2 linked regions of the Drosophila melanogaster genome follow. Changing the gene in region 1 together with any one later gene gives a genetic interaction. Each region holds a gene or a part of one and is shown in the gene's direction. Other genes may lie near its edges.

Region 1 (15,665 bases):
CAGTTGCCCCGCCGACAGCTGGCAGTCAGTCGAATCCAATCAGGATGCGCCACCGAGCCGCAGCTTATTATGGCAGCCCATCTAGGACGATATCGCAATCAGCCGGCGCTTATGGCAATTCATTTGTTTAACGACCAACGCTCATGGCCCAGACTCTTGGTAACTGGGTTCCCAGTGGGAAAAGGGACTGGGAAAAACGGCGACACAATCTCATCACAATTATGGGACGTTGGGAGGGGAATGGCCTCAAAGCAAGCACAAACATTTCAATGTTATGAGAACCGCATTCGTTAAAAAATAGATCAATTATAATATGAATATGATGTTCCAAGTCTCTAACAACCATTGGTAATATAACTAAATCGATAGCAATCATATACCTTATATCTACCTTACTTCATTTTCTAGATACTTCAATAAATTGAAGGTCTAAGATCATATTATCGATTTACTAGCACATTTAAGATACGAAGCAAAAATGTAGAACACTCTGATAGCTAGACAACTTAGAGTCATGGCCAATTAATTTATTTTAATTTATGGTGCACATCCGCAAAATGAACTTACCCCCTCGGCATCCACTTTGCTAAAGCACAACTCACAAATCAACCCTCGTTATCTCTCCTTTCTTCAGCTAATTTCGCTTTTATTAGGTTTGGCAATTTGTAGCTGAATTTTCGGAGGGCAGGCAGTCCGGGGATGCTGAATGAATGGCATGCTTTTTGGAGGAAGGAAATCTGGGATATACATTTCATTTTCCTCCTTACATTTGATATTCGCCCAACTGCCGGAGGAAGAATCGCGAACGAAATGAGGCGCAATTTACAGAGCTCGTTGCGTGTAAATTGAGTCATCTGCCAGGACACCCCGCCAAGTTCTCCATGTAGGTACATCCAACCCCTCTCCAGGACAACCCCTGCCAATTGCCAATTGCCATCTACCATTTCCCATTTCCCACTCCCCAGATCCATAACCATTTCCTATTTTTTTTTTTTGTTGGCTTTCGCTTGGCAGCGACATTTTCGAGTAACATGCACAAATTTATTTCATTTGTTGTTCCCAAACCCTCCCTTTCCCTTTCCCTCAATTTCCCTCTCGATCCCTACTTCGCCAGTCAGTCGACCATGTCCGCATATCCTATCCCTACGTATATGCCATTGCTCCCTTTCCGCTTTTCACTCCGCTCTTTTGGAAAATTTAAATTTTTATGAAATTTTCGTTTTTTGGCTTTCATGCTTTTCTACAAATTTACACATTTGTTGGAATTTTTTATTGGCTGTCATCATTAGTTTCGATATGGCCAGGGGTTGGGGGGGCTATTCAACTGCTGGTGGAGTCGACAAGTGTGGGCGTGTAATTTATAAAGTGTTTGCCAGGGGGAAAATTTCGGGGGAGTATATTTATGTTTTCGCTGTGTGCGGAGAGGGGCAAAGATCTGCGATAAGGACGAGAAGAGTAATTGGTTTGGCCATCATTTTGATGGGTGGGGAGGCATATGTGTGATGTGGATGGCGAGGTGTTGAATGCCAAGAGGGCGGTACTTGCTCAAAAGGTCTCTGGGGGTTACTCAAGCGGTTATAAGATGATCCGGGGGATTTTGTATTCGTTTAGCTGGTGCCACGGAATTCGAGCTCGGAATCTACTTAGCTCGGGAGAAATTAACGATAAAGATGATAATGTGTCTTGGTAGAATTTTTATGGGTATTTAGACCATAGAAAATATATATTAATCAGTTTAGATATTTACAATGCACTATCATCATACATATAGTTCTAGGTGTGTATACTATCTTGGGAACATACACGTTGGTAAATAGTTTGTTGCATTTTCTCCACTATCTATAACAACTAAATCTCAAGACCTCACTGTACAAAGGTCCTTGTATCGTTTTGATCTAATCGTACCATGTCGCCTGCTCATAAATCCCGCTCGACCATCCGGATCTGGGCAAAACGATAATGACACACGAACAAAAGTGCCTGTCAGCCAAAATATTACCAAAACGAAAGTGTCAACCAGCCAGGTCAAAGGAGGAGGGCCATCACGAGCAGGGGAGTGGGGGGTACGTGGGGCAGCGCCGGTAAAAAGTCATAAACATTACGTTGATTTTATTTCGGCAACTACCATATTTTTTATGCCCGCAAAAGGATTGTCTGGTTGTCCTTCTGCTGGCCATGCTCGAATGCCCGTTACGGAAAGTGTCATAAAAATGCCTCGAATTTGGAATGGTTTTCCACTATTTTCCACTGTTTTGCACACACGTACTAAGCGGAGGCGATACAGTGTGAGAAATAAGTGTAAGTACAATCACAGTACATAAATCAAAAGAGTTCTTTTGTTTATACGAATATAAAATATAAAACTGTTCTAATTTTAACCAAGTATTCTTGAAATATTCTCTTAATGCCTATTGCATTTTTCCCAGTGCATAGTTTTGGGGCTGCGGGAATTTCAAGGAGAAATCAGACATTTTTATGACATTTCCCTGACTACTGTTTATTCGCTTTCTCCACGCCGCCCGCCCTTTCTTATTTTTCTCGAGCACTTTTCCGACATTTTAAACATTTCTTTTTCGCCGCTGGCACTTGGCCCTTGTCAGATTTTCCCTGCGCTGCATCGTGTCGTTTGTGTATTTTTTATGATTGTCAAGGATTAGATATAAATGTTTTATGATCTTGGCCCGCTACCGCGGTGCTGGACCAGAAATTGTGTTTTAATATGATTTTACGGCTTTGTGGTAACTCGAAATACGTCCAGCTTGATTGGCTCCGATATGTCGTGCCTGAAATTCCAAATGATCCGATCCTTCGGTCTGATGCACCCTTTTCTGGGCTATTCTCTCCAAATGGGATTTGGGCTCCTCTGGAATTCGTTTTCCTGGAAAACGCCAGGCTCATCACTGTACAGTTGTTTGATGTTCTTAGGGCTGACACGCCCCCCTGCCCCCGAAAACGTCGGTCAGTTGCTACCAAGTCAAATTTTCCCATTCCCTACAAGAAAAACGCGTGAAAATGTGGCCACAAAATTCGATGCCGATCCATCATAATTTCTTGGGTCGCGTGGATTTACAAGCGCCCAAATTATCGGCAGATCGTTTTGGGTAAAATATGAAAATAACGCAGAGCTGTGAAATCGATCGATGGTATTCTTGGAAAAGCAGTTAGCGATGGCGCTTGTCCCTCAATCGAGTTGCCAGAAATTAATTACATTTAAACGCTTCGCTCCCCCATCGAGTTTTCCCCGAGTTTGTGCCAATAACACAAAGTATATATATTGGAAAAACCGAGAAAATGGGTCTGAAAACACACTCGATTCAAATGAATCCAAAACGCACACTCTAAACGCCAACTCATCATCATTAAAGTCAATTTTTCTCGTCTTCTGTTGCCTTGTTTTGTTGCTACTCAACAATTTCTGGCCATCGAATCGAACAAAGGAAAATTTGCCACGTTTTCCATTGTTTTCCCAGCGAGATAAACAGAAAAAAAAACAAAATCGACGAAAAGACAAAAAGTGAAACTGCTGTTTTTTTTTTTCTCCATCCAATTTTCAGCTGAACTGGCATCGGGAATTGGACTGGCATACTGTAGATTTATTTTCTGGATGGAGGGAGGTTCGAATAGGTGAAATTGCATCACGCTGTGCCTCGGTTTCTGTGGAATTGTTTGCAGGCTGAAAATTGTTGATTTTGACACCTTTCGGGCTGCTGCATTGTGTTCCTCTTTATTTCCATCTAATAAATGCATTTGTGCCCTTTGTTGGCTGCATTTTTTACGGTTTTCATTCCTTTTTGCGAACTCTGGCGGGGGGTCATCAACTGCCGAGTCCTCCAGTTGGCCACTTGACTGCCGCTGGTCCTGCGGCCAGAGGATATCTTTATTCGCTCATTAGCAGCACGATTGTGCTGGCTGCAGGTCCTTCGAGTCCTGGAGCTCCTGCGGTGAGGTACTCAGCTCAGTGGGCGTGTGAAATTACCGAAAATACAAGGTAAATTGCGTTTTCTTTCAACTCAATTATGCTTGATTCGTCGAAATGTTGGCCGTCTGATTGCAAGGATTCTTCTAACCACAATTGATTAAATAGATATCAGAGTATTACTTCTAAATATTTATTTAATTTAATATTTTTGATATTTATATTTAATATTTATCATTTCGACCAATACTTTTTTTACTTATAATGAAGCTTTCACAAAATCAAAACTAAAGCTCAGATGCCGAGTTTCAAATCGAATTAGCTACACACACGTTTTGCAGATTAGACCGCAAATGAAACCGACTCAGCTAAAAATCGCTGAACTTTCGACAGCATTTCGCCTTGTAATCAAAATCCATTAGTCAACATAATTACGCTTTAATGGACTCGAAAGTTGTTTATGCCTTGCGTCGATTCGAACCGAAAGCTATGGGTAAATATGCGTGGCTTAATTAGCGGCCATAAAAATTTGATAGATTTTAATCTATCGCACAAGCTGTTGTTGTGCTCTCGCCGATTCCTAGCCCATTAATCTCAGAAATCCGGCGACGAATTTGACGGCTCCGGCTGATAACAGAGTGTGAAAATAGCACTACCGAATATTATTCCATTGTTTTTGAAAAACTCTTGGGGTTTGATAGGAAATGTTATAGTGTTGACCGAGGAAACGAAGTGAGACATTTGGCACGTCCCGACAATTGATGAACCTGCTCTGATTTTGATTTGGAACTGCGATTCGGACACTACATAAATTATGCAAACTTTGTCGTGTGCCAAAAAAAAAATGTAATGCCTGAAAATTAACATTTAAATCGTAGCGAAAAATAAACCCGGTAGCACATTTCATAAAACTGTCCCGATCAAGTTTCGTAGATGATTTATGGAAACAGCAAGTTTGAAGTGCATCCGTGGTGTGGAATTGCTAATGTGGACTGGATTGTCAGCTGTACGAAAACCGGGACGTTTTAAAATAGGGAAAGTTAATATATAATATCATAAATTAAATAAGTATTTTAAATTATAAATTTTACGCCATGTTGTTGAATGGGGTTTACGAACTTTAAAAACACCATTAACAAAATACTTATATTCCTTAATCTTTAGTTTTATGCAGAAATATATAAAGAGCGTCTAACAAATCCTTGCTAAACTATAAATTTGCACAACAAAAATCCCCCTGAGCAAGGGAAATATTTAAAACGCACATCCTCTGTAAGCCTCGAAAACCCTTTTCGAACTTCCTGCAAATTTGGCCAGAGTCCGCAAACAGAGACATTTTGCCCACCTGGCATTAGATTTCCATTTAGCGCTCGTTCCGGCCCAGAAATGCAACCGCAAAAACAAGAACTATGAATGGCAGTTTAAGCCAAATTACACAAAGGCCAAGAGCAACAACAAAGTCGTATAGTGGTGGCTGTTTGAACGGAAGCCATATGCAGAAAATTCGGTAAAGGCAGCGCACCGAACTGGACCCGCCCCTCGAAAAGCAGCCATTTCACTCGCTCCTTCGCAGCTAGGCCATATCTGCAGGGTAGATAAAATCCACAAGGCGCGCGCAAAGAAGACGGCCATACTACACCGAGCACAGTGCCTCCCGCTCTGGCCCGATAAACTGGTTTGGCCTGTACTGGCGAAGAGAGAAGACTCGCCGCAGCTCAGCTCTCTTCGAGTAGCGCACACTTGGTGGTGTTGCCGGGCTTACCGGATTTATTCAGACATCGAACGTCGTCGAGAGCACACGTCTATATTCTCCGTCTTCCGACACAAAAAATAAGAAAAACGAGCGCGTCGATCGCCGTAGAGCACAAGTCTTGACAACCCGAGTGTGTGTGTGATTAATAAAGTAACTAAACGTATATATGAAAGCGTTTCCAATGCGTCGCTTAGTGTGAGAAAATCAACGAAACATAGAGAGTTACAAATAAGGACTTCCCAGAGGATTAGACAAACAGAACAGATTAGATTAAACAGAAAACCGTGCTTAAACCCTCGAAAAAAAAGCCGCCAACATAGCCGAACTAACCGCCGTATTTATGACTAAGATGATTCCGCCGGTTCCCACCGCCGCTGCAGCCGTCATGATGCCCACACCAAAGCAGAAGATCGGTTTCAGCATCGAGTCCATTGTGGGCAATGATGTCAGCACCGCCGGCGGCAATTCGACGCCCGATCTATCCGGTCCCCAGAGTCCGCCGCCCGGCGAGCGCAATGTGCCCGGTTCGCCGCCCCAAACGCCACCAGCCACACTCACCTTGATCCCAGGCTCGCCCCCGCACCATCTGATGGCTCCTCCTGCCCACGGACTGCCCTATCCGCATCCGCATGCTCAGCAGCAGCATTTGCAGGCACCACATCCGCATCCGCATCTATCGCCTGCGCAGCAACATGTGCTCCACCAGCACCTCCTCATGCAGCAGCAACATCCGGGCACACCCAAGAGCCACCAGGACATTCAGGAGCTGCTGCAGAGGCTGCACCACAATGCCGCCATGGCCAGCGGCCTGAGTCCGCTGCAGACACGCCTCTCCCCCGAAACGGAGCAGCCCCAGATGGCCGTCTCCCTCAAGCGGGAACGCTCACCTGCACCACCTGCCATGGAGCAGGCCGAGAATCCCGCCCAGCGCATCCAGCCACCGCACACGCCTCCCAAATCCGTGAGCCCCCAGTCCTCGCAGCCCTCGTCTTCGCCCACTCTGCTGATCAGCAGTCCACATGCCACACCGCCACAGCAGCAACAGCAGCAGCCGCCCCCGAATTATCCAAAGCCCGCCATGATGCATCCCGGAGGAGCTGGACCCATGATGATGCCGGGCATGCCGCCCGCTGGACTCGTTCGCCCCTTTCCCATGGGACCCGGAGGACCACCGATGCCGCAGGGTCAGCCCGGCTTGCCGGACATCAAGGCGCTGCCGCCCTACATCAACGCTCCGCCGGAGCTGCCGCCTCAGCACAATCCGCATCTCATTGCCGCTGCCCAGTTCCAGATGGCCGCCGCCCTGCAAGCGGGTCATGTGCTTGGTCCAGCGGCCGCCGCCGCTGCTGCCGCCGGCCTGCCGCCCCATGCCGCCCAGTTTATGCCCAATCCAGGCATGGCCAGGGATAGCTATCAGCTGTACCCCTGGCTGCTCAGCCGCCATGGAAGGATCTTCCCACACCGATTCCCTGGAAGTAAGTATCTTTTGGAATGATTCTTTATATGCGAAACAAAAAAAGGAGATTTAGGGAAAAAAATAGTTCTTGGAGTCCAAATTGAAGCCAAAAAATGAGAAATTTCTTTAAAGTAATAATTCTAAACCTTCATAAATGTAATAAGAAATGAAAGATGCTAATATGTTTTAAATTAGTTTTGATGAGTCTCTTATAATTGCATTATATTGTCATTGCTAATTTATTGCTGTGAGTTATGATCTTAAATACCGATGACTAACCGAAACCCTTTCTTCTTTGCCTCTTTCAAGGTTTCCTGGTGCCCCCGTTCCGCAAACCGAAACGCATCCGCACCGCCTTCTCGCCGTCGCAGCTGCTGAAGCTGGAGCACGCCTTTGAGAGCAACCAGTACGTAGTGGGGGCAGAGAGAAAGGCCCTGGCCCAAAACCTCAATCTGTCCGAGACGCAGGTGAAGGTGTGGTTCCAGAACCGACGCACCAAGCACAAGCGGATGCAGCAGGAGGATGAGAAGGGCGGCGAGGGAGGATCGCAGCGGAATATGCACAACGGCAGCGGCGACGAGGACGACGACGAACTGATCGACATGGAGATGGACGAGTGTCCCAGCGATGAGGAGCACGAGCTGGACGCCAGCCACTGAGAGAAGCGGCCAGGAGATAGTCCTGCGGCGGTCCGTGAGTTCCTTATCCTGGCGAATGCAGTCCAGTTCCAGTTATCGAGGGTTCCCAGTCGAATCTCGGCGAGAGTAACATAGTTTGTTTTGTTGTGATATATTCTTAGAGCGATCCCAAGGCGTTAGGCTAAGTGTATATAGATAGGAAAGTATTAGAGACCCTTTCTCTCCATCCACACTTCTCTCTCAAGATCCGTGCCAAATCCTTGCGAAGTTTCGAGGTTGAGTAGAGCTCAAAGAATGCAAGTTGTTTCCTTTCTTTCCCAAATATCAAATGCAAAAAAAGAAACACTGAAAAAATAAACCTAGGCTAGACACCACCAACTATAACTGTACAAATTTTATGACTTAAGCCTGTAAATATTCATGACATTACTTTTAATTAGTGAATTCTTCAAAACAAATCGTACTCGATCCACTAGCTATTGTATAATTCTTGTATATTGTATGACGATCTAGCATTTATTTATGTTTAGTCTTAAGCACGAACCTCTAGAGTCCCTCAACTGCAGCTGGATATTATTTAAAGCCGTCTAATATAAAGCCCTAGTTGCTAGTAACTACATCCTAAGCTAATACGATTGTAAGAAACACAAACGAATATGATCATATAAAATATAAAATATTCATTATGAAAAGAAATCGAAAGAGAAATGTTTGATTGATTTATGTGTTGGGGGCAACCACTTATTATCCAGAATACTAGATAATTTATTTATAATTTAAACAATATTGGTATGTTTTGAGTTATGGGTGTGAACTTTAACTTCTCATTCAGCTTTATTACTTTCCTTCAACAATATTTTACTTTAGTTTATTTTTTCTTGTTTAAGCCTTGGCATCTCCGCCCCTTTTTAATTGAGTTCGTCCCACTGTGTGACAGAGTAAAAAATTATGCGCCGTCAATTAATTAGCGTGTGACATTTAACATTGTTGTTGCTGTTTCTGTCCACTGGAAATGGTGACAGGTGCGCTGGAAAAGGGGATTGAGGGGGTGCGGCCGCGACTGAAAAGAGCGGGATAGCTGAAGGAGGCGGCTATAAAATGCATTTAGCGATCGTTATTTCTTATAGATTTCATAAGCATTTTAATTGCACAATTTAAAATGCAAATCGTGTTTTATTGTAGAATTTAATTGAGCGCAGTTCGTGTGAGATCAAAGGGGCGGGGGTGGATGCTGAACGGGGGCTTTTGGGGGTTGGGGTGGCTTTGGAAACTGGTTAACAAGCCACTCGAGGTGTGCTAATGATCTAAAAGCCAAATTTATGATTATTGAACCACAAATTTATGCGAAAACTGTGGCGGTATATAAGCGCAGTTTTCATTATCGCCAAATCGGCTATCAGCTAACTGAAATCGGCTATCGAATGTGGCCTAATGAATATGCAGTGGCTAATTGCAATGGGCAAACTGCAAACTAGATTGGTCCGGCTGATATGGCTAATTAACGGACATAACGAGTCTAATTACTAGCTGTTAACAGCACTAAATTGTGGCACTCTGTCAAAGGTCCCCCCCCTTCAGTATTGAAATCAGGGGGGGTTTTTGGGGGAACCTATCTATTGCAAACACAAAGCTTACAATTGCAATAGTCGTAAATCAGAGTGGGCAAATTATATGTTTCATCGGTGATCGAAATCGCGGCTTTAGCCATAAACCTTTCAGCTAATGGCAAGTCTTGTTTGCTTAGCAAACACGCACCTTTGATGGAAACTTCGAGATTCCAATTCAAGATTCAAGATACACGGCCCATCGCGAGCGGGAACTGTAATTAATAATGGGGCTGGGGCACGCCCCCTGCATATGGGATTGGGGGCTTATCTGCTGGCCTCCTTTATCCAATATCACTCTTCAAATGTTTCTGTAGAACAAAACACACACTGGCGCAAAGGGACGGAGAGAAAACGAAAGCCGAAATCGGAATGAAATCCCTTGCTGATAATTCTCGGAAATTAAAACACAATTTGGTAAGTTGTTGGCTGTTGATGATGTTATACATATATCGAGCATACATATGTTTGTACAACTTGTTTTGCCTCGTGGCTTCGCTTTTGTTGTTGTTGATTTTCGAATGCCTCAAAAGGTTTGTTATGCGGCGCGCCCCAAAAAAAGAGATATAGTAATAATAATGCCAACAACAACGCCGCATTCACTTTATGGCCAGCACCACGCACCACAACTGGCTGCCCGTTGTTATTGTTACTTATCCCATAAAGTTTATTAAGTAATCCAATTTGGCTAAATTAGCTGTGTCTCGTCTCGAAGTTATTTCGGATTTTAATTGAGTTGCGGCTTGAGTTTGAGTTTCTCTTTGCCTACCCTCCCATCTCCATTCATTGCTCATTATTGCCTGTTGGATTTCACCGATCGCTGATCGATCGCCGGCATAATGCAAATTGTCAAGCCAAGATCGAGACCCCAACCCCAACCAGAACCCCTTGGCCCCTTAATGGCCATCCTTTGGAGTGCAGGGCTCAAGATCGGGACGTGCCATATCTCGGTGTTCTGTTTAATGTGTGTTTCCTGGAAGATTAATACGGCGAAATTAAGGAAAATAAATAAATGTCAGCGCTGTACAAGATCGTTATCGCATTTAACAATAATTACCCTGATATGGGATATGCTAACTAATCTGTTAAGCCCGCTCATTCCGGCCAAGGATCGTTCCGAGATGCGTTGCGATGTGCTGGCCAGGCCAACAGGTTTTTGGCCCCAAACGAAACGACTGTTTAGTGCTTTCCGTTGTCGCCCGAAACACCAGACATCATCGAAGGTGTCGCCGGCCGCTTGTTGTGTTAAATTAAGTAATTAATTTTAAAGTCCATGTTCGGTCCGTTTGTCTAACGAAAGACTTAGGCGACGAACTTTTTGGGGCCGCCACGCTTGTTAACCCCACTTCCGTCATTCACTTTTGCCTCGGAGTCTTGCGACTCGATCTTGATCTCGATCGGCCGACTTCAATTGCTTGTAATTTACAGAACGATTGTTCTCATTCCTCGGCGGGCACTTCCTGCGGTTCGGCTAGATTGGCATCACTTTTCCATACCCTCGACATTTTGTTTGTCGTAATAATAATTCGTAAGCGTTTTAATTGAATGATCCGACGGTGGGCGTCTCCCGCTCCTTAACCACACAAGATATATAAGATATACACTCCAGATCCGCTGTGTCATTGCCAACTGCTCGACATGTCCCGGGGTAAACAGAATAAACATTTGACTCGAATTTGGGCCCTCAAGTGCTTAATTAAGAGCCGCAACAACGTCTCGTTTTGGCTCTTGTTTATTTAACAATTTTCTGCGGCCAGGGTCCAATATTTTGATGTTTTCTAATTGCCTCAATTATGCTTCGCTCTCCGGGTGTTTTTTTTGACTGTTAGATCACGGATTTCTGGCGCCAGACGCCGTCTCTTTCATATGCAAAGTGCCTTACCGATCAAATATCGAATGCTTTAATTTGGTATATCAAAGAGAGACATTATGCTGCTGCTGCCAATCTCAGACTCCCTGCCCCCTCCCCCAGATCGTAAAAGCGTCAAATTTCTCAATTCTCGGTTGCCCATTACCAATTCCCGATTTCGTGGCCAACTCCATGGGGCGTCCTAATTGTTGATATGCATCTCGGTTTCTCTGCCACTCAGTTATTGGGTTCGTCGAGAGTCGCTTAATATTATTTGGTGAGTTTTATGTTTTATTTCGAATTAGCCGCATAAATATGCACTCTTTATGACAACCTGATGTCTGTTGTTACTGTTTTATGCTCGCTGAGCTGGAGCGCCCACGCTGCGTATGATTGTTGGCATTTCAATGATCGATACAGTGGTTTAAATTGGTCAGAAGGGAACTGAGAATTATAGTTTTTAATAATATTAGAATTTGTTTCTTATAATATTTATTAAATTGAATATATTTCCAGTTCAAGCGTTTTGTAATTGTTATACATTATATTTAGTTTAGTATCAACCCACTGTGCCGCGATTGACCATCGAAATAAATGCCATTCCACGCTGCCCGCAGTGCAATGCATTATTCAAGCGCTGGAGAAAATCCCGCCTTGGACATTTAGCTGGTTAAACAATCAATTAGTGACGACCGCAACTGAATCGCTGATGCCGTTATTGAATTATACTCGAAGCTATCAGGGGGCCACATACAAATGTGTATGTTCGTAGGACCCATGGCACCGCTCCTCCCCAAAAGGTATAACCCCGCCCTGACAGGCCAACAAATGCTCGGATTGCGTGCCAGCCTCAAGTTGGTCTGGCTAATTATGGGTTTGCCATTTGGGGCCTGCATATGGGTTCTAGTTCTACACCATGTGGCTCAATGTAAGGTATACATGGCTTTGTAGTATAGTGTAGCTTATCGGAGTGCTCGGTGGTCCGGGCCAATGAGGCGTCATCTAATATATTGCAATTACAAGCGGCAATTAGTCAATTTACCGGACTCGAACACGAAACGCTTTTCGTATAATTAAAAGCCAATTAGAATATTTATTATGAAAATTGCCCAACAAATGTGCATAATTGAAGCGATGTGAATTCGTTTAAATTACAGACCGCTCCAGCGATTTCCATCTAGTTGGCAGCCATGAGAACCTCCCAATGGGGAATCTACTGTCCGATATGCCCCCATCCAGTTAGTGGTTTTCTATAATTGAATCAGGTACTTCCTGCGAAGCAATTACTGCCACGGGAAGCGTATTATAGGTTTAGTTTCGATGATTAAGTGCACTGATCTTATTAGCAGCTTTTTTAGGTAAACAAAAACATTAACACGCCCTGTAATTGTTGGCTTCATTATTTTCAGACCAATTTTTATAAGCAACTGTGACATAAGACTTAAGCAGCTATTTGTACGTACACATTTATCAATTCAAAACAAAACCTAAACTTGTATTATTTTTCTGATATCTGATTATTCTAATAATTTACCTTCTTCTTCATAATATACACATTGCCTTCTGCAGTTAATAATCCACCTGTGCTAAAGAGACTTTAATGCATAGACAGGTAATTCGTCACTTAGTTGGCTACTGGCAGTGAATCGAAACACCCACACTCGGAGCTTCATCTATTCACACTTTTGGGGGTTAGGTCAGGTCTGTCGTATGCCCAAATATTAATGAATTAACATTTGTCACACACACGCAAACAGACGATGAAAATATTGAAAAATTATGCAGCCAAGGCAATCAAACAATTAAATATAAATTTGTGGTATTCACGCCCCGAATCGAGGAAAGAAGCAGAACGAACCCACAAAAAAGTATCGAACAAAACAAATGAGTGCGTCCCTGATGTTGATGACGATGTTGATGTCCGTCGTCCGATGTTTGATGGCATTCCAGTCGAGCTGCTGTTGCGGCTGAAAATTCAAATTCGTTGGAAAATAATATTGTCAGCATAATGCCCGTAGATTATTGGATAGTGAGCTGAGCACACCCAAAACGATTCCCAATACAATTTTGACAGCGTATTTCGTAATAAAGTGGAAAATTCATTGAAATCGAAGTCAGGCAGCAACGGCAAGTGCATTTCAATTAGATGTACCTCTTGGGGACCAGGTTCTATTACCATTTCTAATTAATCAGACGCAGAGGGTGAGGGAGTGCTGCTTTATTTTGACATTTTCCACGGATATTAGATTAACATCGTTTTAAAATCAAATTAAAACATTAGACAAGGCCCACCCCTGGCAAACAGGATTGTCTAGGGTTCGTTTCGGGTTCTCGGCGCTGGGTTCCCTCTTTTTCTTGGCCACTTGGCTTCTATTTATCACCGTAACGGCAACTGCTGTTTTTGTTTTGCCTAGCGTAATTTAGATAACAGGTATGGCCAGCATAAGGTCCTTATTGACAAGTGGCATTTTCCGGGAAACGCTCTAAACGCCAAATGCAGCGTGGAAGGAAAACCTCATTCGATTGCCCTGGACATTTCAACAGGGGTCGCACAATACCCAGTCCAACTGGTCAGCCAAGTGTTGGTCGATCCTTTTTGCCTTTCTTCTTCTTTTTTTTTTTGTGGACTGGCCAACCTAAAACAGTTGTCAGTTGGAATCCCTTGTCGTGATGTCAATGAAGATAATGCCAGGCGATTTAACCTGCTGTGCGTGGGCGTAAGTATAGATGCATCTCAACTTCTTTTGGTGTTTGCTCTTTTTAATTGGAAATTAAACAAATGCCCGGGGTCGAGACTCATTGTTCGTCCTACGATTTTGCGTGATTTCGGACCGGACGGGGGGCACTTGAGACCAGCAATTGTTGTGGTCCTTGGACCGATTGTTCCGTTGATTTCTTTACGAGCAGAAGAACCGTTAGCACAGATAGTTGTTGCCATTGTTGCGGGCTAGTGACTCTATGATCCTTTGGTCCTTTTTATGGTGGGAACATTGAGAATCAGCCAAGAGATCAATCTAATTACCGAGAAATGTAAGGGATAATGATCCAGAAAAGATAGAAATATTTACTGAGTGAAGAACATAATTATTTCTATGGGAGGATACAAAAAGTCATAAAATTAACAAGCATATTAAGTGTACAAACAAGAGCTGCAGAAAAAACGCGGCAAAAAGATTAAATGATTACACAAAGATGGATACTGGATTTAATCAAATAATATATTAAACATGAAATGATATTCAGGCAATTTTCAAAGTATATATATCATTTAAACTATAATACACCTTTAAAGGTACGAAGCTCTTATATTTCCAAATCCACCTGAGCAAACAGCTGAAAATACCCAACTTTGGCACAATATTCCAAGATAGTACATCTTTGTACACCCCCGCTGCATAATCGGGCCATAAACATTTCATATTCGTTTGTTTCACTCGGCAAGCAGCAAGTTCGTTGCCTAAGTCTTTTGTTTTAGTCCCCCTGCATTCCCTTTTCAGAGTCGATTGTTATAAACAGTTGCCTGCCAAAACACGGCATTTATGCCAGCCCGGGGCTTCCGTTGAAATGTTAGTCGGAATCTGAATCGGAATAAAACGCCCCGACCCCGCTGAGCGAAGAGCCCTAAAGGATTGCCGGACTAAACGAAGCTTTGCAGGCAACGCTCAAAATATGGAACAATGCAGAGGGAACCGCAAATGACATACAGCATCGTTGGCTGGAATTTTGGAAGAAAATCTAATCATCTGCCGGAACGCCCACCAACCAACCACCGATCTTCTGCGCCCAAAGGCGAGCTGGAAAACAAGCAAACGTATTAATTAAATGTGCGCAACGCCTCCCAGTTTTCAAGCTAGTTCCTCCCATTCCCGACTCATTGTGTCAGTTGGGATGGGTTCCTTTGCGAAAACGAAACCCTTTACTGGCATCCCGCTGCTCCGGAGATGCAATGGTCCAAGTTCGCTGTAAAATCATGATTATTGCCATTATGGGCTTATTAAATATGAATTGTGAGGCCCCGAAATCCAGTCTTCCCTCTTTCTGACTTGTGACAAAAGGCATAAGTCAATGCGGAGTATGCAGATTTCAGTAGGCGTGTCAGCGAACCGAGCCCAAGGAGTCGAGCCGAGTCGAGTCGAGTCGAGGATTAAGTTGCACTGACATTCATTCAGGCCAGGACCCAGATGAAAACCGGAGGATCGTTGATCTCTAACAGGATTTGACAAAAGTTAAGCCACAAGTGCCTGCAGCTCGGATCTAATCCAGCCGAAGGGGAAAGGTGAGGGCCGGGAAAAGGGAGCTGGGAAAATCCCAGTGACTCTCTCGGCTCAGGTAAATCGCTGGCAGCAATTTCCAAAATAAATAAACAACATTTTGACCGGAGATAAATGTGAGCCAATTATGCCAGTCTATACTCTACTGACATTTGAAACGCTTGTCAACGGTTAAATT
Region 2 (15,648 bases), on another chromosome or scaffold:
ATTGTAATACAAGAATCAAATAGCCTCTTTCAAATACGATACATCATAATCGATAAATGCAAATTTAATCAATAAATATTGCCTCAAGGGGGTTACTGTGGCAATGGCCACCTACTGAGCATTTCTGGAAACTTCATTTGAGATCGGCGCCGGCGCAGAGCCCTCAAAAAGACCCCAAATCATGCCCAGCTGCTGAAAAAAAGGGGTTACTATTGGAGCTTTTCCGCTTCAGTGGCAACGCCATCCAATAAAAAAAGCTTTCAATCATCCCCCAGTGCGATGCTGATGCCGCTTCTTCTTCTGCTGCTGCTACCGCTGCTGCTTCTGCTGCTGCTGGTTGTACCGTGTGGATTCCACTTCCTCCGAGCCGAACAGAAATTCTCGGACACACGGAGCACACGGAGCACACAGCGCACAACACCCAACGAGTGCGAACCCAAGCATTGCGCATACGACGTGTGGGCCGAGTGGCACAAATAAATAGTTCACATTTGTTTTGCTGCCGTTTTTTGTTTGTTTGGCCCTGTGTTGGCGATTGTTGTTGCTGCTGCTGCTGCCTGCCACCGGATTTGTTTATTTTTTTCACAGTGATTTTTTTTTTTGTTGCCAGTGTGTGCGCAAGTGTGCGTGTGTGTTATTGTTAGTATCCAATGTGTTCTTGCCGTTTTTAAACAGTGAATCGCCGCGAATTGGAGCCTTGTGATTGCCCCATTCTTATCAGCAGTTCCCTGAATTGCGATTGTGATTGCGAATTTCTCGCTTGACATGTAGCTGCGAATTCTGGGCGTGTTTGTCGCTGTTCGGTTGGTCGGTTGGTGGGTGGTTGTGAGCGGCGTAAAAGGGGGGACAAGGATCCGGAATCGGTATCGGTGAGTACAACTTACATATACATATGTATGTACATTTATACATTTGTTGAGCAAACGCAGCAAATGATTTGTTTACATTCAAACGAATGGTTCTGAAAAATGAGAAATATGCGAAATGTACTATAAGCGATTCGATTTCTTTCGCCGCAAGAACATTGTTTATTTGATCGCATGCATTGTTTCATCGCACATTGCCCCATTGCTGTGTTTATTTTTGATTATTCTGCACATTTGTTTGGCTTTGGTCTAGCAATCAAAATGCATATTCATTGGGTGAACTGCCCCTTCCACATTCGTTTGGGGGCTCGGTAACCGCTCTTGCAAGCATTATGTAAACCTGTGGGCTGGGCCACCGATTCCACCTGCGATGCCAACGTTGTTTCCGAGTTTTGGGTTCTCTGGGTTTTTTCCTTTTTTTTTTTTTGTATTTCCTCCCATTATGTTGGCTGCGCTAATGTGCTTGGCTTTTGTCTGATTTATGCCGCAAAACAATCAAATTATTGCCAGCCAACCCCTTCTGACCGCCGCACATCGGTGCCGCGAAGCTGGTGGTGCTCATTTTTTATGATATCTCTCTATTTCCCTTTTGCGGCCGCCGAGCCATTTCATTATATAGTCTCTAGCATGCACTGAAAAAAATATAAAATCATCAAAATCATCAAACTCATTGCATATTTTGTGATAAAAACTGAATGGTAGTTCTAAAACTACATAAAACCTATTATATATGATTAATAACATATTAGCTAGCTAATTTTTTGTTTCTTATATTAGCTATTCCTGATCACTTGTACATAAGCGCTAGCCAGAAAAATCTATGGAAATTACACTCTCGCTAATTTCTCGCAGTGCACGTTCAGCTTTCCTATTTTTTATGCCGCTCTCCTTTTTTCCGCCTTGGGTTTTGTTTTTGTTTGCGTCTTGTTTCAGCGCTGAACTAGTTTTTGGCCCACCACCATTCAGCACCGCGATTTCCTCGAAGAGGGTTGGGTGGCTCGAGAAGTTCCGGGGCTGTTCGCTGGTGTTCGTTGGACTTCCGCACTCTTCCGGGGTGGAGAGCCGTATGTCTTATATCATCATACAGCGGCTTTTCCGCCGGCATCCGATGGGGCAGAGTTTATCGGTGGCTCAAGGATCCGTTTGGCCAAGGACGAGTATCCTTCGAACACCCCTCGCCGCCTTTTTGCCCAGCTGTTGCATAAATTTTCGCATTTAGCTGCTTGTCTTTCACATGTGTTTGTGTGTGTGTGTGTGTGTGTGCGTATGTGGGCCTAACATGTGTGTGTGTGTGATGGGGTGTCCTTTTGCGGATTTCGTGAGCGTTTTATGCAGCTCAAGGAATTCCGTTGAAGGCATGACAAGGCTTTTATTCTCTTATTCTCATTCCCCCCCTCGAATGCCCTTTTTTTGAAGGGGTATTTAAGGCTTTGTGCAGAATAAGTCGGTTCTTATCTCAACAGGTCTAGATTATCTCTTATCATTGTCTAAAAGGGTACTTGCCATCCTAATGCATTATTTATAAGTACTAAATAGAGGTCTAGAAATATTAATAGTAACAATTCTATAGTAATCTGATATTTTCCTAATTTTAATATTGGATGAAGAGCTACACGCCTAATGATTTTGGACTGAATGATGATGATTGGTGTTTAGTCATCGAAGACCTTTATCAACGCGAATGACAAGTTATCAATCATTCGAGGACGACCCCAAAAATTAAATGAGAGTACGCTATTCTTGTGCTACGCTGGTCTGGAATAACTTGCCTTTTGGTGGCTTTTCTTTTCGCAATTTTCATTTGCAACCCAAACTGAAGTGCGCCCCATTTCCGCCGCCAACTGTCTGACTGACGGACTTGCGAGTTGTCGGGGTTACCGATTCCATTCTGGGCGGGGAAGGTGGGCAAATGGTCCCATTTCGGCCAAGTCAGTCATGTTAGCCAAGCGGCTTCTGCTAGCCGCACCGCACCGCCCCGCCACCTGGTCTGCTGTTTTTTGTTTCGTTGTCATAACAAAATAAACAGAAAAGAAAGAAAAAAAAAATTAATTCCACGCTTCCTTGTCGCTCCTGTTCCTGGCCAAAATACACAGATAATTGGCTTCATTAATGCGAACATGTTCATTTGAATTATTTTTACATAAACGAGCAACGCTCAACGATGCCAGCGGCAATCCGCAGCTAATAATAAGCCCGATGGTAATCCCAATTTCAGTAATGCAAAGACGGCGATATGGCACTACAAGGCTGGCGCTTTTTCGGTGTCTCGGCAACCATCATCATCTACATCGGCGGCGTCCTGTTCCTCTCCATGAACAACATACCCGGATCGCATCCCAAAAGACCGCGCATCGAACGTTTCGCCGAGGTGAGTCACGAGTGGCACAACAAGCTGACAGCTTTCCCATTTTCCGCTTGGCAATTTTCCGACTGACATGTGACATTCCAAGGAACGAAATGTACAAAAATAGCACGCACTCCGGTCGCAGGATGCGAGGGATGAAATATGTATGTTTATACCCATTTAATGTAACATTTCTTTCAATTTGTATTCACAGTTTCCCAGCTTTCATAGTCCTCGGTTTCCGATGCCCAGCCGCAAGATGACGATACGCTGGTGTCGCGACCTCAAGTACATAAATCGAGATCTTCCAATCTACGCGGATTACAAGTCCGACTTCTACAGTGAGTGCTGACCCACTGAAGTTTGACCTTTCTGTAACCATTCTGTAACCATCTTTAGCGGCCCTGCCCAGTGACGTCAGTGCTGCCCTGCAATCGCTGCCAGCGTTGACCGCCCTGGCCAGTTTTCCTGGCAGCGGTAACACGTGGCTAAGGTACTTGCTCCAGCAGGCCACCGGCATCCTGACGGGCAGCATCTACAAGGACTACGGCCTGCTGAAGACCGGCTTTCCGGCGGAGAACGTCTGCAACAGTTCAGTATTATTGGTGAAGACCCACGAGTGGGGCAGCAAAGCGTGGGCGCCCTTCTCGAAAGCAATTCTTCTCGTCCGCGATCCGGAGAAAGCGATCATCGCGGAGTTCAATCGCCAGAGTGGCGGTCACATCGGATTCGCATCACCGGATCGCTACAAGCGCACCAAGGGAAAATGTATGTTTTGCATATGGGGGCACAAACCAATTAAGTCCAATTAAGACAGTTATGCATTGTTCGGCTTATTATTATTGTTAGGCTTTGCGACTGAGAGCTTTAATATATTGCTAACTGCTTTGGTTTTCATTACAGACTGGCAGCAATTCGTGAGCAACAAGCTCAAGGGCTGGGAGATGATGAACCTCAGCTGGGCGCGCAACTTCACGGGCAGCATCAAGGTGGTGTTCTACGACGACCTGGTCCACCATACGGAGCGGGAGCTGCGCTCCATTCTGGACTTCCTGCAGTTCCCCATCAACGAGCAACTGATGCGGTGCGCCATTATGCGGAAGGAGGGCATCTTCCGGCGGAAGAAACGTCTGTTATCTTTCGATCCCTATACGGAATCCATGAGAGCGGAGGTGCAGAATCGACGGCGCATCGTGTACGGATTGCTGGGGCGTCAGGAGCCGTAGAATATGCATAGGATTATCTATCTATATCTACATTTATCTATAAGAACTATGGGCAACGAGAAGGGATATCGAATTCGTACCACCAAAAGGAACTAATTGAAAGCAGAGAAAAACTGAAAAGCACAATTGCAACGACAACGAGGCACAAAGCAAAAGGAATTGCAACCGAGTATTCAAATCATCCCCAAAATCATCACGACTCGTAGGACCATAGATCTCACTGGGGGTCAGCAAACACATACATACATACATACATACATAGGTAGTAATGCCCCAGCATGTAGTCCCGTTTTTCCAACCAGATCGTTCCCAATCGTTTGCTGCTCGCTTGGCGCATTAGTTCAAATTTGTTATGTTCAAACATTAGATATGGTATTTTATAGAGACGCATAACTTTAGGTTGATATATGTACGTACTCGTGTGTACGTATTTGGTATAGGCTATACAACAAGGTATTATGATTCCTGATCGAATTTATGAAATTCATTATAGGCCATGTTGTGCTTCATCGCTCACCAAAGCTCAACTCATCCGCAACTTATCCTTTGGTCACGTTGAGGTCCCATATTAGAATATCCTTGTAAAAAGTTTTATACACGACTCTACAATAACTTGTGAAATATTAACAACGGAGCCTATTAGATAATTGTACAAAAACGAAAACCAAACCAAACAAATCGAATGAGAAACAATGAAGTGGATTTAAAAAAAAAAACCAAAAATTTAAGTTTGTCATTTTCTGGGTTGGATTTTAAATGGGCTTTAAATAGCTTTTCGTGTGTCCTGGCTGCATTTGGAAAAGTTTTGAAATATAAAAAAACTTGAATTATATATTTTTTGAACTTTCATCTCCTTGTCTTCTTTTATAAGCTTTTCGCGTAGAGTCCTTAAAAGCTTTTATAAGCTGCAAGGATACGTAAAATCCTTTCAGTGTTCGCGTTTAACAATTAAGAATGACCCACAGATGGCGCCAGGAGGACGAAATTTTGATTGAAAAACGAAGCAATAACTAAACTAATTTTAAAAGAAACAATAATATAAAATCAATAAATAGAAAAATATAATTAAATATTTTATTTACTTACTCCTTGGCATCTTAATTTCTTAAATAATATAAAGCACAAGTCTGAAAAAACCTAATAAATTTGTTTGGTGTGTTTTAAAATGTGTACAACATTAATTGATTCTACTTCGAAATATGCTTATCAAATAATAAATAAATGTTTAATTAAACCAATTATTTTTAAACTAATTTAACATATTATTATAATAAAATTGTATATTTTTTATGTTTAACCAGATAAAACTTATAATAAATGGGTTTTGTTTAGCGGTTTGGCTTAGACTATGTGCGTTGCCTTCATCTTGGGCGATAAAGTTAAAATATTAAAAACTGTCTTTTATTTTATAAATAGGTAGGTTCTAAAGGTGGCACCCTGTAAGCCTGGCGTTGCGATCGGGACACCCTGTAGCTGATTTGCCATGCTGCATGCTTTTAACAGTTGCACTGCAACAACTAGGCCTTCGAATCGCCACTCCCCCATTTCGGAACTGACCCACCTGCTGGCTATCCCTGACCCACCTCCTCCTGCGCCAACCAACTACCTCCTCCCCCTCCTCCCTCTATACCTTTCCCCTCGCCTGCTCCATCAGTCCCACTGACATGTACGCCCATTTCTGTTTTGGCATTGTTGGTCCGCCGCCGCGTTGGCGTTTTGTGCCTTTTGTTGAGGCTCAGCGAAAGCCACCCACCGAAAACCACCCACCGGCCACCGGCCACCGCCCCCCACCGGCTCCCCTTTGAAAATCAGAAAAAGAGAGAGAGAAAATAGAGAGGCAGAAATGTGGAGGAAAAAGAATTTGTGCCATATGCTGGACATTGCGATGCTCGGCTTTTCCAGGGCTCCGGCTCTTAAGGGGGTGGTGCTACCCAGTTCGGCCCACTACCACCACCCACTCTCACCCAGCGGTAGCCAATGTGGCAGTGCGCAGACGTCGCACCACTGACGCTGGCATTGGCTTCGTCAAGTTTGGAAGGACTCGCCGGGTAGAGACACACCGACTGCTGCCCAATTCCAGCTGAACGAAGGCGCCGGCTGCGCTGCCCGCTCCCATCGGGCAACCAATCAAAGGGCACGCGCTGGCGTTATATAAGGAATTCGGCTGCCATTTTGAGGCAGCGGGCAGGACACGCCCACGCTGATAAATAATGAAAACATGTCGTCCGCCCCATTGAAAATAAACTCTGAAGTTAGCGAAACTCATCATAGAATTCTTTATCACAACACCACGCGCGCTTGTCTAGTTGTGAAATCTGTGTCCTGTGTCCTGTGCGCTGGCGTTTTTGAAAATTTCGAAAAAATAGTTTGTTGAAGGCGTCTGCAAAAATAAATACACACACATATATGCCCATTTAGCGCGGCGGTACGGTCGAGCGGTACAGAAGCAGAAGCAGAGTAATATCACGCAATCAAATTGCAAGTCCAAGAAACAGGAAACGGAAGTCGGTATAAAACGCGGGCCAACAGCTCCGCTTCGCAAACGGTAAACAGTTTGAACGCCGACGCCAAACCGTTTAACCCGTTTCGAGTGCGCGTAATTCGATTAGCAGTCCAAAAGCCAAGCAAAAAATAAATAAGAAATAGAGAAGAAAATTACAAATAATCAACCGACGGCATTCGGTAACTACTTGGGCAACATTTTTTTACTGTGATTTTTTTCTCAGTTCTGTCGCGTTTCACAAAAAAAAAAAAATACCCATTCAATTTGATGAACTAGCCAACGGGCCAAGAGAATAAATACAAGTGCAGTGCATACGATCGATCGAAGAATCAAAGCCAATATATAAGTAGAAAGAAATATAGTTTAGGGCACAGTTGAGCGGGCCCAGTGCATTTGATATTTGTTGATGTCCTGCATGCAGGACACGTGCTAAGGCTGTCCCAGTAAGTGCTTCAAAATTTACTCGCCAACCACTTTCGACGCCTCCAGGGCGTTCAAGCTGGAGGAGGATTTCGTCGGCGGCTGCATGACAATGTCGATGTATTCGACGACGGATAAAATGAAAATGTCAGCGCCCAGTTGTTTTCCAGGACGCTACAGTCCCTCCTATCGAAGTTCGGAGCAAATGCGTCGCTGCATGCCAAATCCATCTGTAAGTATCCATCGGCACTTGCCGGGAGAACCTCACCCAACCACCAATCCATTCGATTCCATCGATGTGATGCATAGGAGCCCAAGAATGTTTTGGGGGCGCATCCTTTAATTCTCAGGATAATTTCTGTCCAGTTTTGACTTCTCTTGATCTTATTGGCAAATCTAATTGGTTTCACTATGAGTTACCCTAAATTATCGGAAACTACAAACTTTCATATTCTTGGGATTGAATCTCAATGAGAATATTAGTATGTAGTTTAAGGCTATGAGTCCATGCTTTAAATATTATATTTTGTAGAAAGTCTGTATCAATTTCCCTCTTTTCCAGATCCTAAAACTCATTAATAATAAAATTAAATCATATGTTTTTATATTTATTATGCAGATACAACCTCTATAAATACGTTTTTACTATTCATAAATGATGCCATCTTAGGATGCCCTAACTCTATTAATTTGCTCACATATTGTAAATATAATTGGGCTTTTTATGAACACACAAGCGTAATTTAAAGACGTTAAGCACTTAAATAAGTATATATTGACAACATAGAAGATACTTACTATACCACAGAATATCCTTCCTTCTACAGATTCACATCTCATCATCCTGCGATTCTCTCGAGGTATGATTTTCACATTAGTACGATTTCATTTGAGTTCCTCCGAGTCATTGCAAAGCAAATTGAATTTGCTGTGGGATGTAATCAAAACCCTTCTACGATCACAGAACTTCAAGTCATCCTATAGCCTATGAGCTACATCAAAGTGGAACACTTTATGTACATGCTTTTTATTTTAATAACTTGGCTTTCAAAGTGAGTTCTTATAGCTAAAATCAGAGATCAAAATGTATATCAACTTATACAACATTTAAATACGTTTCACTTCACTGATAAGTATTTCGTATATCCGACTACGATTACAACATAAAACCATTGTTATTCTGAAATGACAAGGACAGATTTTCCAAGTATTACCATTTATAAGTTATCCCTTATAATCCGGTTCCTATTTCCGATATGCAAAATACTTTTCACAGGAGCTAGATCCTTCGTTTGCCATTTAAATATCATAGAAAGGGAAAAGTTGCACATTTTAAAAGAACCAGTATGTGTTCCTGTGACCCGCAAATATGGACTCCATTCATACTTTCATTTGCATTTGGCAGCTGAATGAATAAAGGGAATAACGAACTTCCAACACTCCGTTGAGCGATATATAGAGCTTGAGGATGCCGTGTTTTTCCCGTCTGAATGCATTAATAACGAATAATTCGGAGTATTTGGCAGGCGTCTCGGAGTTTCCCAGTGTCCTGCTGAATCATTTATGAGCTTTGAGTTAAAAATTGAATGGGAACATGGGCAGACATTAAATGGTTATTACTGACAGTTCTCAGACAGGTTTATTGATGCCAGTCTGCTGTCCAGGATTACAGGTGCAAAGGCGAAAAGCGAAGAAAAATAAGAAAAGAGAACAGGAAACGGAAATGCCAACTGCAAGTAGTGCACTTCCCATTTTCCGTTCGCGATTATTTCCGGCAAAGCATTCGTCTTAATTACGCCGTGAATGTCGCCTGAATGTTTCCCGGATTTTGTGGGTCCTTCGTTGCCCACGAGGCGAACCCAAACGGAAGGGTTGTGCAGTAACCTTGAAAAGTGATTTGAAATTCATTTGCATTAATTATTTACCAACTATTTGTATGCGCTGCTGACCAGCTAGACAAATAAAAAATGTAAAAGCCCGGGGTAGAAGAACAAAGACGAGCAAAAAATAAACGACCACGACTGAGTGTATATGGTTATAGCATCGTTGATGAATGCGTAGTTTACAGATTAAGGATATATAATCGCGAAAGATACAAATGGAAAGATGCAAGCTAACATAAGATTCTATATATTCCATATATTCAATTATATATTATTTTATTTTTATTACCTATCAATTTTAGAGCAATTCTTTTTTAATTGCATTTATAGCAGAACCAATCTTATGAATTAAATATTAAAATAGGTACGAAGTGAGCAATACAAATAACCCCGAAATAAAGTTACTTCACAAAAATATGAAAATTTTAAAATTGAAAAAAGGCGTCTCTTCCATTTCAATTAAACTTGAAAAACACCAATAAAAACTAAGTGGCAGGCAATTTATGGAGGCAAAAGTGTCTGGGTTTTCCACCAAAGTTATACCACCCATTGCTAGGGCATAAAAAGTGCATAAGCAAATGCGAAAAAGAATGCTCGAAAATTAGTTTGAAAAAAAAAAAAAACAGGCAGGTTGATTGCGCCCGAACAGGTGAATAACTTTTTTCCCACCCCATTTTGCAACCCCGCGCGGCAAGTCCTTAAATTAATCCGACACAGAAGCACTTTAAACGGCAAAAAAAAAAAAAAAAAAACGAGGAAATCACTTCAAGTATATTTCCTTCTTTAAGGGACAACAACTACATTTGCTTATCGGATTTGTAGCCCATGCCCCTTCAACTGGCCGTTAGCCACTTTTCGGCTTTTTGAAAAGCTGCCAACGGAGCAAGTTGAATGATCAAAGCGGCGGATTTATAGGATTTATATGCTACCCTTGGCTGGGCATTAAGTAGTCGGTGAGAAGGCAGGGGGAATATCGTCGTCCGGGGGGAAGGAGGGTGGCACATGCGGCTGAAGAAGCACCTTTTTAGCTGGTTACAAAAACACTTAACGCCTTGCAGTCCATTAAATGGAAATTTGTCGCCGATCCCCTGGACCGAAGTTTATAAACCAAAAGAACCAGAGAAGTGTGTTTTTCAGGGGCGGGTGTTTTTTTTTTTTTTTTGGTTTTTTTTTTGTATCTCTCGTTTTGGAAATTGAGAGGGGAGCTTTGGGCATTTGTCATTTAACTTGAATTGTTTGGCTGGCGCGCTAAACGGACAGCGGCGGCGTTAATTTGATTTAAATATTCATAAACTGCATTAAATGGCAGCGGCATTAAAACGAAACCACCTGGAAAACAATTGACAAATTATTGGCGAAATCAAACGGGGAGTAAAGAATACGGAAGCACAGGAATTTTCTAGTTAAAATATGTGAAATCGAAGGATTAGCAGCTCGGCTAAAATGGGTGGAAAACTATAAGTAAGTCAGTTCTTTGAAAACCTAAGAAAAAAGTGATTTTCAACTATCTATAATCTTTGAATGATATTTCTGCTCAATATCAATATAATTTTTTTTTTATATCATATTAGTTATCTACAGTTGAAAGTGCATAAATTCCAAAAAGTTAAGAAAAATCTAAAGGAATATTATTAGTAGATTATTATACTTTAAACATGCACATTTGCATGCTTTGTTAAAATAATTAGAATTCTGCTGATATCAGAAATAGTTAATATTAAGATATTCGTTATTAATACACATTCATATACTAAGATATATGTAATCTTTAAACTTTCTTACTGCCATTAAAAAAGCTGCTGGTTTTAAAGTATCTAAATTCATACGCATTTAATTGCTCCAGTATTTTTGGCGGTTTGTTTTGCAGCGCAATCGATAAAATTAAGCATTCAGCAATGCGTATCTATTTACACACATCATGAATATTAAATTCCCACAAAAATAAACAACAACAAACAAAAAATTATTTATATAAGCCACACACACACACACACCCATGCATCGCACATACACACACATATATGCACGTAAAGACACCGAGACACACGTGCAGAGAAAAATGAGACAAACAAACAAGTGCGAGACAGAGAGGGAGAAAGGACGAAAGGGAAAAAAACAGTTCACTTGATTAATTTTTCACACTAATAAAGAATTTATGTGCAAGTGTCAGGCTGCAGTGCGAACACCCCACCCCTTTCTCCATGTGTACGCTAGAATATGTGTGTGTGTGTATGTGTGTGTGTGAGCAGGTCAAGACAGTGTCCTGGCCATCGTCTTCCCTCTCCCTCGCTCCACCGTTGGCCAGGATCCTGGCCTAGGTCGTGGCTAAAATGAGGGGGCAAGAGAGACAGCACCATTTGATGAATGACTGCGCATATTAATTCATAAATTAATTCACTGCTGCGTTGCGGTGCCAAAATTTATTGGCCAACAAACTGTTGCGAATTCTGGTCAGGAGGGCTTTCCGTTCCGGATTGCCTCGTCCTGACTGGGCTTAAACAAGGATTTCGGTTTGGGAGCCATGAAAAATGAAGGAAATTTCCAAACAATGTCATAAATATTTAGTGCATATATACTAAAAGAGTTAAACTACAAATTTAATACAATGAAAGGTGGTTCTAAAAAACTTCAAATGTGTTGGTATGATACTAAATCCAAATCCTAGTTTCAAAGCTAGCCAATGGAAATATCTCGAAAACTTCCAATTTATTAAAATGGAATATGCACAATCCTTTGAAAAATATATCCCCTTTAAAAATGTACTAATGAATACAAATTTTAAAGAACTTTAATAGCTACATTTTTGACAACTGTAAGCTGACATAATTGAATTCTAAAATGATTCTTTTTATGTTTTTGAACAGACTTTGTTAGTCGCGACATTTTTAAACTTGCCATGCATATCAGATGAAAAATCGAGTTAGCACAAATAATTGCTACTGTGCAATTCCAACTACTTTCTCTTTTTCGCTCTCCCCTGATCCTTTGTGTCTCGACCCCAGAAGTCTGTCATTTCCTTGGCATCCTGTAATGGGAGCACGTGTAAATGTGGCCATTAAGGTAACACGACCCCCTTTTTGGCGCCCCTGTCCACCTGCAAGTGCAAACAAACTGTCGCTGTCGGATTATTTGCACACCACCACCCACTTCCCACCTCCCTGCCACCCTAAGTGCCACGCCCCCTCTCCAAAGACGCCCCTTTTTAACCAAGTGTAAGCAACCATGGTCGGATGGCTGGCTGGCTGTTTGGATGGTCAAGGAATGGGCCAAGACATCATTGGGAATGCACAACATTTTGATTTCTACGATGGCCGCCGCCCGGTTATTGCGGTCCTTCGTGGACCAAAAGGAGACAGCCGGCTGCGGTGTGAGGGAGACGGGTGCAGAGACGGCACTACACTGCTATAAATTGCACTTCACAACACTTTATTTTCGAATTGCATGTCAGAGTAACAAAATTATGTGTCAACGTTGCAGTACGAACTTAAAAAGATCCTTCAAAACCGTTAACTTTTAAAATATAAGTAATATTAATTAAACTTCTGGTTTTTAATTTAATTTAACTTAGCGAATTTAATTCTCCTTGCCGCTTTGAAATTCTTATTCGGAGTATAATTCATCTAGTCCTAGAATGCTTACAGTGGCCTTAAACTATTTCGATTTCCATTTGTAACTTGTGTGAGATCCTTTTTCTCTCTGTGTAACTGGCTGGTCCTTCGCATTACGCCTTTCGCCTGAAAATGGGCCGCAAAACGTGAGCGATGCCTTTGGCTTTTGGCCATGTGGGTTCCGTCTCATTCACACTGCGAAAACCCCCAACTTTGTTGTCGTCTTTCGTTTTCGTCGTGCGGCGTTTTGAAGTTTTGTGCGCATCTAAATAATTGATTAACTGAAAAATTCGTGCGAGTTTCGTGTACACAAGGAGTTTGCTGCATGCACATGTATAGCACAGATACACATACATACATGTCTATGTATATATACAAATATATATATATATCTATATATAAAATATAAAATCGATAAGACTGGAATAATAAAGACGACGACGACGACGGCGGCGACATGAAGATGAACCATCGGGCACGGGAACCGAAAAACTTTTGATATTATTTATTTAAAAACCCGCTAGTGGGGAATGGCCGAAAAAAAATCGATAGAAAGCCAGCTGGTTAAAGGCTTTAAGGTTCAGGTTAACCAGAAATCTGCAGATACTCTTTTGCCTCTCTTATCACAATAAACAAAAAAAAATAAAAAAACACATATAATTGCTGCAGTGGCAAATTGAATCTATACACAATACTATCGATGTTTGTTCCGTCTTTTCAGAGTCGTTTGTTAGAAGATGCTTCCCTATTATGCAATTCGTGGTCAGCACGTCAGAATGTAAGTTAATATTGAAAACACAACAAAAGTAAACCAGTAAACCATGTTTGTCTTGACTTGATTGATTTTCCTTTTCTGAAATTCATTTTGATATACATTCGACATTTGATATTCGATATTCGATATTTGATCTCTCTCGCCGACGCCGACTTATAAATATATCTCTCAGTATATCTATATGTATGCCAACGTGTATCTGACATCGAAGTTTGTCTTTGTTTAACCGAAAATTCGAATTGGATTTGGGTGATTTGTTCTCTATATAAACATATTATATATATATATTTATAAGCATATAAATATATTACCTATTGTTTCGATTGTGTTCTTGCCTGTGGACCAACTGTATATCGTACATACATGTATATCCCTGCATCCTCAATCCCTTATATGCATATATTCCTAAACCTGCTAACTTCCAACCTACTGACCACTACGATCTGCGATCTTGTCTCCACTACAGGGTGATATCTTCGCGGGCATCAACGATGGAATCCTCAGCAGAGCGGAGGCCCTGGCCGCCGTCGACATCCAGAAGCACCAAGCCCAGCATGTACATAGCCAAATGCCCTCCCAAATTAAGCACGACGTCATGTACCATCATCACTCCATGAGTGGGCCTCCCCAGCGTCCGTTGCAGGTGAGTCCAAGTCCAACTACGAAAATGCTATTTAGTTTGGGGCAATTGTTTAGTCTTAGTTTTAAAACCAAAAACTATGTAAATTCAATTTACATTGAAGTACACCATAGATTTAGTTAAAATGTTTCTTCCATAGATCACTTTAAAAGTTATTAGAACCATGTGAAAACCCCTCGTTTCTGGCTTTGATTAGCCAAGACAGCTAAGACTATCTGTTGTTCAAAAGCAAAGTATTCGAGACCAATTCTGCGCCGGAAGTGGTAGTCCTACGGTTGATTGAACTTAACCAAGACGCCCCTTCCTGTGGTTTTTGTACAGGTCGGACATGGGGTATTAGCCAATGTCTAGAATGCTGCAAATTATGAAAGTCACTCCCTGATGAGGCGGGTTATTAATGGCAGGGAAACGGAATCGAAATCGGAATCGGAAATGAAGAGCGGGCAAGGGGGAAAGGGGAAAAGGGGAAAAGGGGCAAAGTGGCAAAGGGAAACGGAACTGTCGCATTGGGACAGCCGAGAACTCCAATTTCCGTTTTCGATGGTCACACGCATGTCTATCTACAGATACATGCACACACGTACACTGTGCTTGTGTGTGTGTGTGTGTGTGTGTGCGGTTAATTTGAAATGTTTCTTTAATAAAATTAAAATTGTGACGTGTAAGCCTTCTGGGAACGTGCCACGTGACGGTCGTTTGCCAGGTAAGCACATCATGATTCGTGTCGTTAATTGTATTGTACTTCAACTCGAACTGGGCGTTCCGAAAGTACTCGCCTCTTCCTTCCCAAAAAAGGGGGTTAGGGCCCAAGTGGTGGTTGCCGCTTTGCTGTTGCTCTATTAGAACTTGATTGTAATCAAATTACACCAGCAACCTGTTTTCCTTCCTTCCTTCCTCGATTCTATTTTTTTTGCTGTCCAGTTTAGTGTTTTTCCACCGAGCCTGCAGCTAGTTGTTCATAGTTCGGCTGGTGCTCATGTCGCATGTTGCTCAGGTTGCTACTGTGGCTACTGTTCCTGTTGCAAGTTGCCACTTGTTTTCGGCACAATCGAGCATGACCAAAGTGCGCCCTGTCCACGCGCCGCCGTCCGCGGTGGTGGTTGATGTGGTCGTGACCCCCATCCAACCGCCGGCAATCGTCCGTAGGCAAAATAATCCACTCGAGTCCCTCCTGGCACATAAGGCACATAGGGCACATACAGCACATGCTGCACATGCAGCCCATAGCCCATAGCCCATAGCCCATAACCCATAACCCATAACCATTCCCAATTGCCAGCGCGTGCTGTCCTTAATTTTCGGCAAACCCACTCGACGCGACGCACTCGAGAGTTTCGATTTCGGTCTCAGGTGCCGGCCAACTCTATCAATCACCCACACTCC

What was found.
Region 2: of ems (region 1) and acj6, changing one suppresses a phenotype caused by changing the other (phenotypic suppression), as found in Drosophila melanogaster (one study listed by BioGRID).

The regions. Positions count from the first base shown.
Region 1 is NT_033777.3:13,896,170-13,911,834, forward strand, and holds ems (empty spiracles), read left to right. Parts: upstream 1-5,683; 5' UTR 5,684-6,009; coding exon 6,010-7,144; intron 7,145-7,434; coding exon 7,435-7,784; 3' UTR 7,785-8,451; downstream 8,452-15,665. UniProt on the Drosophila melanogaster protein: Acts as a homeotic selector gene controlling antennal and mandibular segment identity.
Region 2 is NC_004354.4:15,370,132-15,385,779, reverse strand, and holds the start of acj6 (abnormal chemosensory jump 6), read left to right. Parts: upstream 1-6,715; 5' UTR 6,716-7,465; coding exon 7,466-7,591; intron 7,592-8,186; coding exon 8,187-8,219; intron 8,220-13,571; coding exon 13,572-13,628; intron 13,629-14,091; coding exon 14,092-14,268; intron 14,269-15,648. Other genes in the region: CG9164 (uncharacterized protein), read left to right, coding at 3,100-3,234, 3,425-3,551, 3,610-3,978, 4,114-4,436. UniProt on the Drosophila melanogaster protein: Modulates gene transcription; simultaneously generates both a specific activator and an inhibitor of gene transcription, capable of modulating two distinct regulatory programs during neural development. Has a role in olfactory behavior.